2 linked regions of the Tribolium castaneum genome follow. The protein of the gene in region 2 binds, or shares a complex with, the protein of the main gene of each other region. Links are inferred from orthologs where the notes say so. Each region holds a gene or a part of one and is shown on either strand. Other genes may lie near its edges. The genes, in order: Mon1 and Bulli.

Evidence for each region.
Region 1: the proteins of Bulli (region 2) and Mon1 are in contact, whole or in part, in a cryo-EM structure (PDB 8JBE), measured with the Drosophila melanogaster proteins. The link is inferred for Tribolium castaneum from reciprocal best matches to the Drosophila melanogaster genes Bulli and Mon1. Residues at the interface, in NP_648047.2 of Drosophila melanogaster: Ile561, Arg565, Lys568, Asp590, Leu592, His595, Ser596, Arg599, Phe600, Met603, Phe631, Pro632; in NP_608868.1 of Drosophila melanogaster: Pro416, Glu417, Arg419, His438, Pro439, Glu445, Arg448, Met473, Lys474, Glu475, Arg476, Glu494, Pro495, Val496.

Annotation. Positions count from the first base shown.
Region 1 is NC_087396.1:19,985,401-19,989,305, reverse strand, and holds Mon1 (vacuolar fusion protein MON1 homolog), read right to left. Parts: upstream 2,470-3,905; 5' UTR 2,271-2,469; coding exon 1,975-2,270; intron 1,929-1,974; coding exon 1,731-1,928; intron 1,685-1,730; coding exon 1,441-1,684; intron 1,396-1,440; coding exon 682-1,395; 3' UTR 547-681; downstream 1-546. Other genes in the region: Prp38 (pre-mRNA-splicing factor 38), read left to right, coding at 1-104, 151-546; phytanoyl-CoA dioxygenase, peroxisomal, read left to right, coding at 3,439-3,446, 3,499-3,615, 3,668-3,779. UniProt on the Drosophila melanogaster protein: Part of the Mon1-Ccz1 guanyl-nucleotide exchange factor complex specific for Rab7 that promotes the exchange of GDP to GTP, converting Rab7 from an inactive GDP-bound form into an active GTP-bound form.
Region 2 is NC_087394.1:22,491,839-22,496,279, reverse strand, and holds the start of Bulli (regulator of MON1-CCZ1 complex), read right to left. Parts: upstream 2,826-4,441; 5' UTR 2,789-2,825; coding exon 2,690-2,788; intron 2,639-2,689; coding exon 2,161-2,638; intron 2,087-2,160; coding exon 1,857-2,086; intron 1-1,856. Other genes in the region: adenosine 5'-monophosphoramidase HINT3, read left to right, coding at 2,826-2,921, 2,979-3,159, 3,209-3,402, 3,454-3,495; RhoGAP68F (rho GTPase-activating protein 1), read right to left, coding at 4,179-4,349, 4,397-4,441. UniProt on the Drosophila melanogaster protein: Positive regulator of the Rab7 guanyl-nucleotide exchange activity of the Mon1-Ccz1 complex, possibly by enhancing its endosomal membrane association.

The sequences.
Region 1 (3,905 bases), on a different chromosome or scaffold from region 2:
CTTTGTACAACGACAACAGGAAGTTGCGGCGACAAAATCGCCAAGCGCAGTTTGAAATTGTACACATGGACGAGTTTATTGACGAATTGTTACGAGAGGAACGAGTACGTGTTTTTTTTGTTACGGTAGATAGTAAAATTAATTTTTAAGGTTTGTGATGTTATTTTGCCACGCATTCAAAAACGCATTGTTTTGGAAGAAAGCAACGAACTCGAAGCCAAGATCTCGGCCCTTGAAGACGACTTGGACGAAGAGATTGAACTTGAGGAAGAAAACAAGTACGAGTTGGTTGAAGAAAAGCCCAAAGAGAAGAAAGAAAGGGAGAGGAAGCGGGAACGCAGCAGATCCAGAGAAAGGCATCGCAGTCGGAGTAAGGAACGCCACAAGAAGGAGAAGGACAAGGAGAGGGACCGCGACCGGGAGAAGGAGCGCGATAGGGAGAGAAGAGACAGGGAGAAGGAGCGCAAGGACCGGGAGAAAGACCGCGAAAAAGAGCGAGATCGTAAGGATAAAGACAGGAAACGGGAGCGAGACAGACACCACTGATTTTTCAATACATCGTTTTATACAATCAATAATTAAATACATCAACAAGTTTAGGATTGTGAATATCACAGATTAAGCCTATACCTTAGATTTCCACAAAATTTACATATTTATAATATATACAAATCAAATGGCTCAAAAAGTGGGCGCATTGAGATGAAACAACTTCTCCTCCCTTTTCTTAATCCAGTTCAGCAGCCGCCCCACTGAGTTAATCGCACTGTTTGTGTCAATCAAGGGCTCGAAAACTACATAAAGCTCAAAACCTCTCGTATCCCACGCCAAAATCGCCTCGTCTGAGTTTTTCTCAAATAACAACTTTAGCGGCCTCGTCGAGCAATGCAACAAGTTATGCGCCCGTTTGTACAACTTTGTTAGTCTCTCGTTATATTTGGTGTACGGTGGGGTCAAGCTTGGTTGGTAGAACTGTGCTGTACTTTTGCATTTGTACAAATAGTGCCTAAGTTCGGGGAAACCCGCAACAATGCAAGTTTCTTCTTTCGCACTCAGCGACTCATTGATTGCTTCTAAGCAGTTGCTGCGTCGCAGTTTTTCCACTATGCGTTGTTTCGCCTCACTTAGGGCAAAAAATACGTCCCTTTCCACCGTCAGGAGGAGCAAACACGCTTGACAGTCTTCAGCCAAGTAGGACACATGTCCGTATAAAAAACCACTAGCGTCAAACCGTGGAAGACATAACGGTGTCCAACTTTCAGCCGTTTTGAGGCTTTCGGAGGCTTGGACTAAGTTAAATATTAAATGGAGATCGGCCGGGTGAAGGCAATATTTTTTCATGCGGACTAGAGTGATAAGTTTATTGTTTGCGAGAAGTATTGCGAAAACTAGGTTCTGGAAACGATATTTTAAAAATGTTTTTTGAAACAATTTTTTTACTTTAATTTTGCTGCAAGCTCCGACAATGGCCGAGCTGATGTTGTCTCTCACTGAGGACGCAAGTGACAGACACTGGACTGCGCCCAAAGTGAACGAAGGCTCCTTCTCTGAGAAATCTAGCAAGTGGTCAATGAGTCTCTCAACACCTGCCAGAAGCCGTCTTAAGTCATAATTCTGGCGTTGCTCGTAAATTTTATTAAGTCTAGTCAAGGTTAAGACACTGGCTATTTGATTAAATACGTAGCTGCAATAAACAAAACTAGAAAAAATAACAAAGTGGGAACCCTCACTTTAGTTGTGAACACAGCTGATTTACACTTTCCTGCGTTCGAGAAACGGCGACTAAAATTAACGGTTTCTTAATTAAAAAGACAAACTTCGTGTCCCCGGCATGGATGCTCCTAATGGTGTCCTCATTTGACTGTACGAAGCTAACCAGTGTTTGCATAACACCGAACAACCAGGCTAGCTTATCCTCGTTTCCATATCTGAGACATAAGTTGTAAAGAAAAAAATTATGCAAACGATAACAACCTCGAATAGATGGGTTTCCCGGCCATGCTGAGGACAAAGACATGTTTGTTCTTACAAGCCCACTCCTTTGACTGGACGAAATCGTCCTCTTCGTTGTTAATTGAGAGATTCTCGCTGATTTCGTCAAAATTCTCGACGTTGCTGTTTTCCACGTTTGAGTCGTTTTCCGCGAGTGCATTCAGGTTTTTGATTTCTTCGAGGCTCGAGCTCATGTGATCAAAATTGTCAAAGGAGTCGGTGGTAACAAGGACACTCTCGGAGGCTGCCCCCGGCTCAACTTCCAGATTCGAGGACATTTTTTGTTGGGGGTTTTAGTTCACGTGAAATTCACGAACATTCTTGAAAAATCGTCGGAATTTTGTTGGGTTTTTGAGATTTCAATGCATTGCTCTTTGATTGATTGATTTCTAACCTCAACCTGACATTTTTTTGACAGTTGTCAATTTTGGTGCCAACCTTCTAACTAATACTTCTAACTAAAACTCTTAAGGCAGGGCTTTAAGGTGGTTAAACAAGTTAAGAGCAACTATTATATTAATTGAGTTTCCGCTTTTCCAAGTTTTTTAAATACGTAGTTATTGTGTAAAAAATAAGAGAATGTCATTTTTTATTTTATTGCACTACATTTTGGTTTCAAATTAATTTTGATTTTGGTAGTAGTATGTTATTTCAAACTTGAAAATAAATACATCACTGAAATACACTTAATTTATTTAAAAATATAGCATTACCAACCTTCTAACTAGATAAATAGTGAAATTTTAGTTAGATCATCTGTTGGGTATGCAGAGGTCAAGACTTTTATTATTTACTGTACTTTGCGTGCTGTGATAACGAGGTGAGTGTTTAACAACTAACAAACAACGATAATAAGAAAAAGCATTTGTTAGTTCCTTTTTACGCACAAATAATTATTATAGTGTGTTACAATTTGAGCGATATGTATATCTACGGCTTAAGTAGTAGGTACTTAAGTAACAAAATCGAGAAAAAAATAGACAGTATGTTTAATTATAAGTTTAAGGATCGGTTTACAGAAAGCGAAATTAAGATTTAATTCGAAATTAAACTAATTCGAATTAAGTTGCCATTTAAAATGCATTGACAAATGTCAAGTTAATCGCGATTAAAATTTAATTGCAATTAAAATTTTCTGTAAACCGGCTCTTACTGTTCTCGTATCATTGATTTATTTATTTAAACGGTGGGATGCTTGACATTTGATTAAAAACAGTACAAGTAAATTCAAAGTAATTGTTTATTATTGAGTATCTGTTCGATAATGTGTTGTTATTACTTACTACTGACACTGAAATCATTAAGTACATGTTTTTTGTATTGTTATAAATAAATGCTTCAATGACGCAACATAATTCAAGTGTATTTAATAAACAAGATAATTTTATGTTTTAGTGTATTATTCGGACAAGTTTCTTAAGAGAATTGTCTGCGTTACCGAACAAAATGGGAAGGTAATTTAGTTAAACAAAAAATTAAGTGCATATTAATAAGTACAATTTTTAGATTTAGGTATACTCAAGACGGTGGTGTTCTAACATACGAACAACGCCAATTTTATGAAGATAATGGATATATTGTGATAAAGAACAATGTTAGTCATGCCTTATTGGATGAAATTCAGTAATGTTTCCTTTAATTTTCTTTAAATATTTTATTATTATTTTTAATACAGAGATAGATTCATCAAAATATGCGACGGAGTGGCTGACCCTGGATTTATGACTGTTATGAAAGACCCTTCTTTAAAACATAAAGGTGTCAGAGGGCAATATTTAATAAATAAGGTATGATAATAAAAATTGCTACGTTAAGTTTTTGTGAATACAAAAGCATTTGCTGTTGAATGCTTCATTTTGTTCTATACTCATGTGTTTTTTTTAATATTTCTTTCAAAATTTTACATTAATAGT
Region 2 (4,441 bases):
ATCGCATAAAGTAGGTAAAGAATAATTTGATATTTTTTCTTTTTAACGAAATTATAATTTTAATTTTAAAATAAGAAGATAATGATTTGTTTTAAATTAATTCTCTATGCAAAAGCAATAAAAAAATGGATGACATATTCTGCCCTCTATATTGTTTTCATACCTATGGTTTTTACTAAATGCATAATTGGTTGAATTTACTAAGATGAAAGTAATCTGTAGTCAACAATTTTACTGCTCGTTATTCCTCATCTTATACCAAAATCATCTTTTTGCGTAACTTACACACGTAATAGCAGGGTTATTAGTAGTTATTACTTATTGGCCCGAACATACACATACTAAAAATGTTCAAGAATTTACAACGATTAATTTTGATGCTACCGATTATAAGGAACAAATAAATTAGAGAGTACGGCACCAACTCACCACCCCATCAGTTCTACCTAAGGTTATTAATTATTGTAATTAATGAAAAGCTTGTAACATTTAACATTACTTTCCAGAAGAGAGTTTAAATTAAACTTAATTAAAAAAAATGCATTGATACTGATGGATCTTTTCCCCAAATTGCATTTTCAAATTTGAAATTAATCAATTTCAAAAATGAAAAATAAAATGAAATTTATTTATTCCTTAAGCAAGAGTTGGGTGACAATTTGACAAACCCTAAACCAAAATACGTAGTGCAATACGAAAATACTGACGAGTAAAAAGTCGGTCATTTGACTCAATTAAGTCATGTTAATTAACTTATTAAGATGAATAATTATAGTGCAGAAAAAATGCTTATCTTAATTCTTATTGTGTAATAATTATAGGGAAATTAAAGCAACGTATAAAATTCATATTTTTGTAGTAGGTCACTTTGCACAAAAATCTTTGAACAAGTCGTTATTTTTGTATTTAAAAAATACATTTTGACATCTTTGTAACATCTGTAACGTCATTGGTTTTTGAGTTAAGACGTCATTTTGTTATTTTTTTAAACGGCAACCGACATTTTTGTTTACAGTGTACAGAAATTTTGTTACTAAAATAAAAATTGGGACATTTTATTTGAAAAAATTAAGTTGTGGGTATTTGAAATTGTCAAAACTTAACCATAAAATTTTACAGTTTATTAACTTCTTTCGCAATTTTGGACACACTGGATATGGGCCTTCTCTTTTAATTCTCCAAATATGATTTCGAAATCTCTGAAACTAAGAGAGTTACCAATTTTTTAAGTGAGTGGTGCAAATCCAAAAATTTTCAAAAAATCTTAAATATTTCGAAAACGGTAAAATTAAGTATAGGGAAAAACAGTAAAAATTCCCTTTAAATAATTCAACTGCAGTGAAAAACAGCGTTTCATTTAAAATAAAAAAGTTGAGAGCGACTTCCGGTATAACCGGAAGTGCTGCCATCTTGAAAATATTTCCATTGAGCAGAACTCAACGGATTATGACTTAGATACTTCTAATGTGGCACCGAACAGGCTGCAAGGACCTTTGTTCTTGCACGAACTACCACACAGAATAGTCCTTTAGCTTTCTGGTAGGTAAATATAAAAAAAATAAAATATAATGTAAAAAAGCTATTGATAATTATTACAGACAAAATGCTTATCCTTTTGTTTTCGACCTATTTTATAAGGGGTGATTGTATTTTTTTTAATAACCCATATAAAAATATTTGCATGCATTACTATTAAACTCACCTGATTAATTATTGCATATTGTATTATTAATTAATAACCAATTAACAAAAAATGATGAAGAGCATTAAAGTTTAAAATAATGAAAAACAACAAATATAAAAATAAGAAAAAAAATCAGAATTGGTGCGGATAAGCAGAGTTTTACTGTATTTACCTGATGATGGACCAGAATCAAATCATCAACGATATTAATCGCAAATCTCCCAGAAAGCCCCAATTTCAAGACATGTGTTTTAACGGCGGCTTGTCCCGGGCCACTTAAGGTGTGTACATGGACCTCAGCACTCTGGGGGCCACTCTGATGTCTCAGAATTAAAACAGCGGGAATGTCGTACAGAGTGGACAAAGTTACGTCTCGTTCTAAAGCCATACGGCCAGGTTCGGCTTAAAACAAAACATTTGAAAAAAAAATTATCGTGACCCCAAGATAAGTCTCTCGCGCAAGCGTAAAAACTTACTTTCAACTTTAGGCAGTTTGCTTATTGACCCCGGTTTAAAAAGCACAGGCTGCAGCTGCGACCCATGAGCCGATGCCAGAAGCGCGATTTTGTTTAAGGAGCACCAGACGAACCACTGAACAGTCGCCGAGGTGGTTTTAAGGTATTTGAGTGACTTTTTTTCCGGGATGATCATGTAGAGTTCAATTCCGTGGTCGGTCATGAACGCAACTTCATTATTTTGCGACCAAACGAACCCCAAAATGTTCGAATTCTTCTTGCAGCTTTGGGAGTACTCTGAATCGAGTGTCGCTCCGTTAAAATTCATAAACTCAACCGACGTGTTTGAGCGCTGAACTGCCAGAACCTTCTGATCAAGGGAGAATTTTATTGATAGGACGGGGCCGTGGTCTTCCATTCGAAAATTGAGCGGTTTGTCGGACTCTGTTGGGCCTTTGACCACCACTCCCATAACGCCACCCGAGCGCACCGCGAACACCTTCAAGGGGGCTGTCACCAAAAATACAAGAATCTATCTCGGGATAGTTACGTGTTTGTTCGAGTCGTCGAAGAAGACATTTGTGAGCTGGTTGACGGCCTCAAAACGGACCGGGTTCTCAGACAATTCCAAATAAAAATCACTTGACATTTTCAATTCTAACCTCAACTGTCACATTGACGTTAAAATGACAGCTGTCATAACAATTGTCAATAAATCACCTGTCAGCAGGATTTTTACAAATTCGTTCCGTGGAGCGAAAACTTTTAGAAGTATTACAAAGGCAAGTTCGAATTTATCCACTTAGTGCTGGACCATTGATAAGTTATGTAATTTGCAGATGTCAAACTGTATTTTTTGCAAAATTATCTCAGGTGATGCCCCTGCTGAAATCTTCCATCAGGATGACAAAATGATTATTTTCAAGGATATTAAACCGGCCTCCAAGCACCATTTTTTAGCTGTGCCAAAAGAACACATCCCTAATGTAAATAGTCTCTCCAAAAATCAAATTCCATTAAGTAATTGGCTAAATTAGAGATTATTTTTTATGTACTATTTTTTTTTCAGTTAATGATTTAATAGCCAAAAGTAAACAGGTTTTAGCTGACAAAGGAGGTAATCTAGATGATACAAGACTAGGTTTTCATTTACCACCGTTTAATTCAGTATCGCATTTGCATTTACACATAATATCACCAGTTTCGGAAATGTCTTTCATAAGCAGTTTTGTGTTCAAGCCCAATAGTTGGTGGTTTACTTCTGTACGTTATTTAATCACTCATTTATTTATCTTTAATTGTGTAATTTTGTAGGTGGATCAAATCCTGGAGAAATTAGAAAAAAGCAAATTATGAGACATTTTATATCATACTTTATTGGTAGGGTTATAAGACACATTATAATATAAAAAATAAAATAAATTCTGATGGAATGGTTAGTGGGTTAATAAATACAAGAGGTAGAAACCATTTGAAGTGTTCTACATTGGACCTGTAAACTATTGATACCTTTCTAAATAAAGAAATTGAAACTAACAAATGTAGAATCTAATTTAGAACCCAGGGGTTGGAACAGTTCTTTGGCATTTTGACTATTTTTTCGTTCAATATACAAAATCAGGCACATACCCTTTAAAGCAACTTAATTCTCAACAAATACAAGTGTACAAAATATTTAACTCTTCCTCAATAAAGGATATGCACCGGTATATATAATTTACAAAATTACTACATTTGTTACTGCTCTTACAGTTACATAACTACTTCTATAAGTCTTATGTTTGTCGTAATAAGCAACACAAACTGGTACTTTAAATCTCTTACATCTTTCGTCTAACATGATATATCCAGGCAAACTATTTTATGATCAACATTATTAATTAATATGAGATGATAACAATTTAAGTAAAACACGATTATGGCTCAAATTAATCTTGACACAGAAACCCTGTCGTAAGTGGTCGCGATCTAGAATGTAAAACGAATTTTGTACTGAAAAAAATGCAATAACAATCACAGAATCGACTCCTTAAAGCATTTTAAATCATAAATATCGCGTTACAGTGTTGCAACAAAAACTGGGTGAACATGTTTATGGGGCCTATGGCCACCAGTGACATCGATTCGATCTCAGACCACACTAGATTTGGGCCGAATACCACAGCTAAGTTTTGTGCATTCATTTTATTCAAGTCGGCCCTTTCCATCACCTACAAAAAACGTAAAAATCGGTTCACCTCCATGCGAAACAATTTACCCTTGAAAGGAAGCTAATAATGTATTTCAAAATTTGATAGTTATC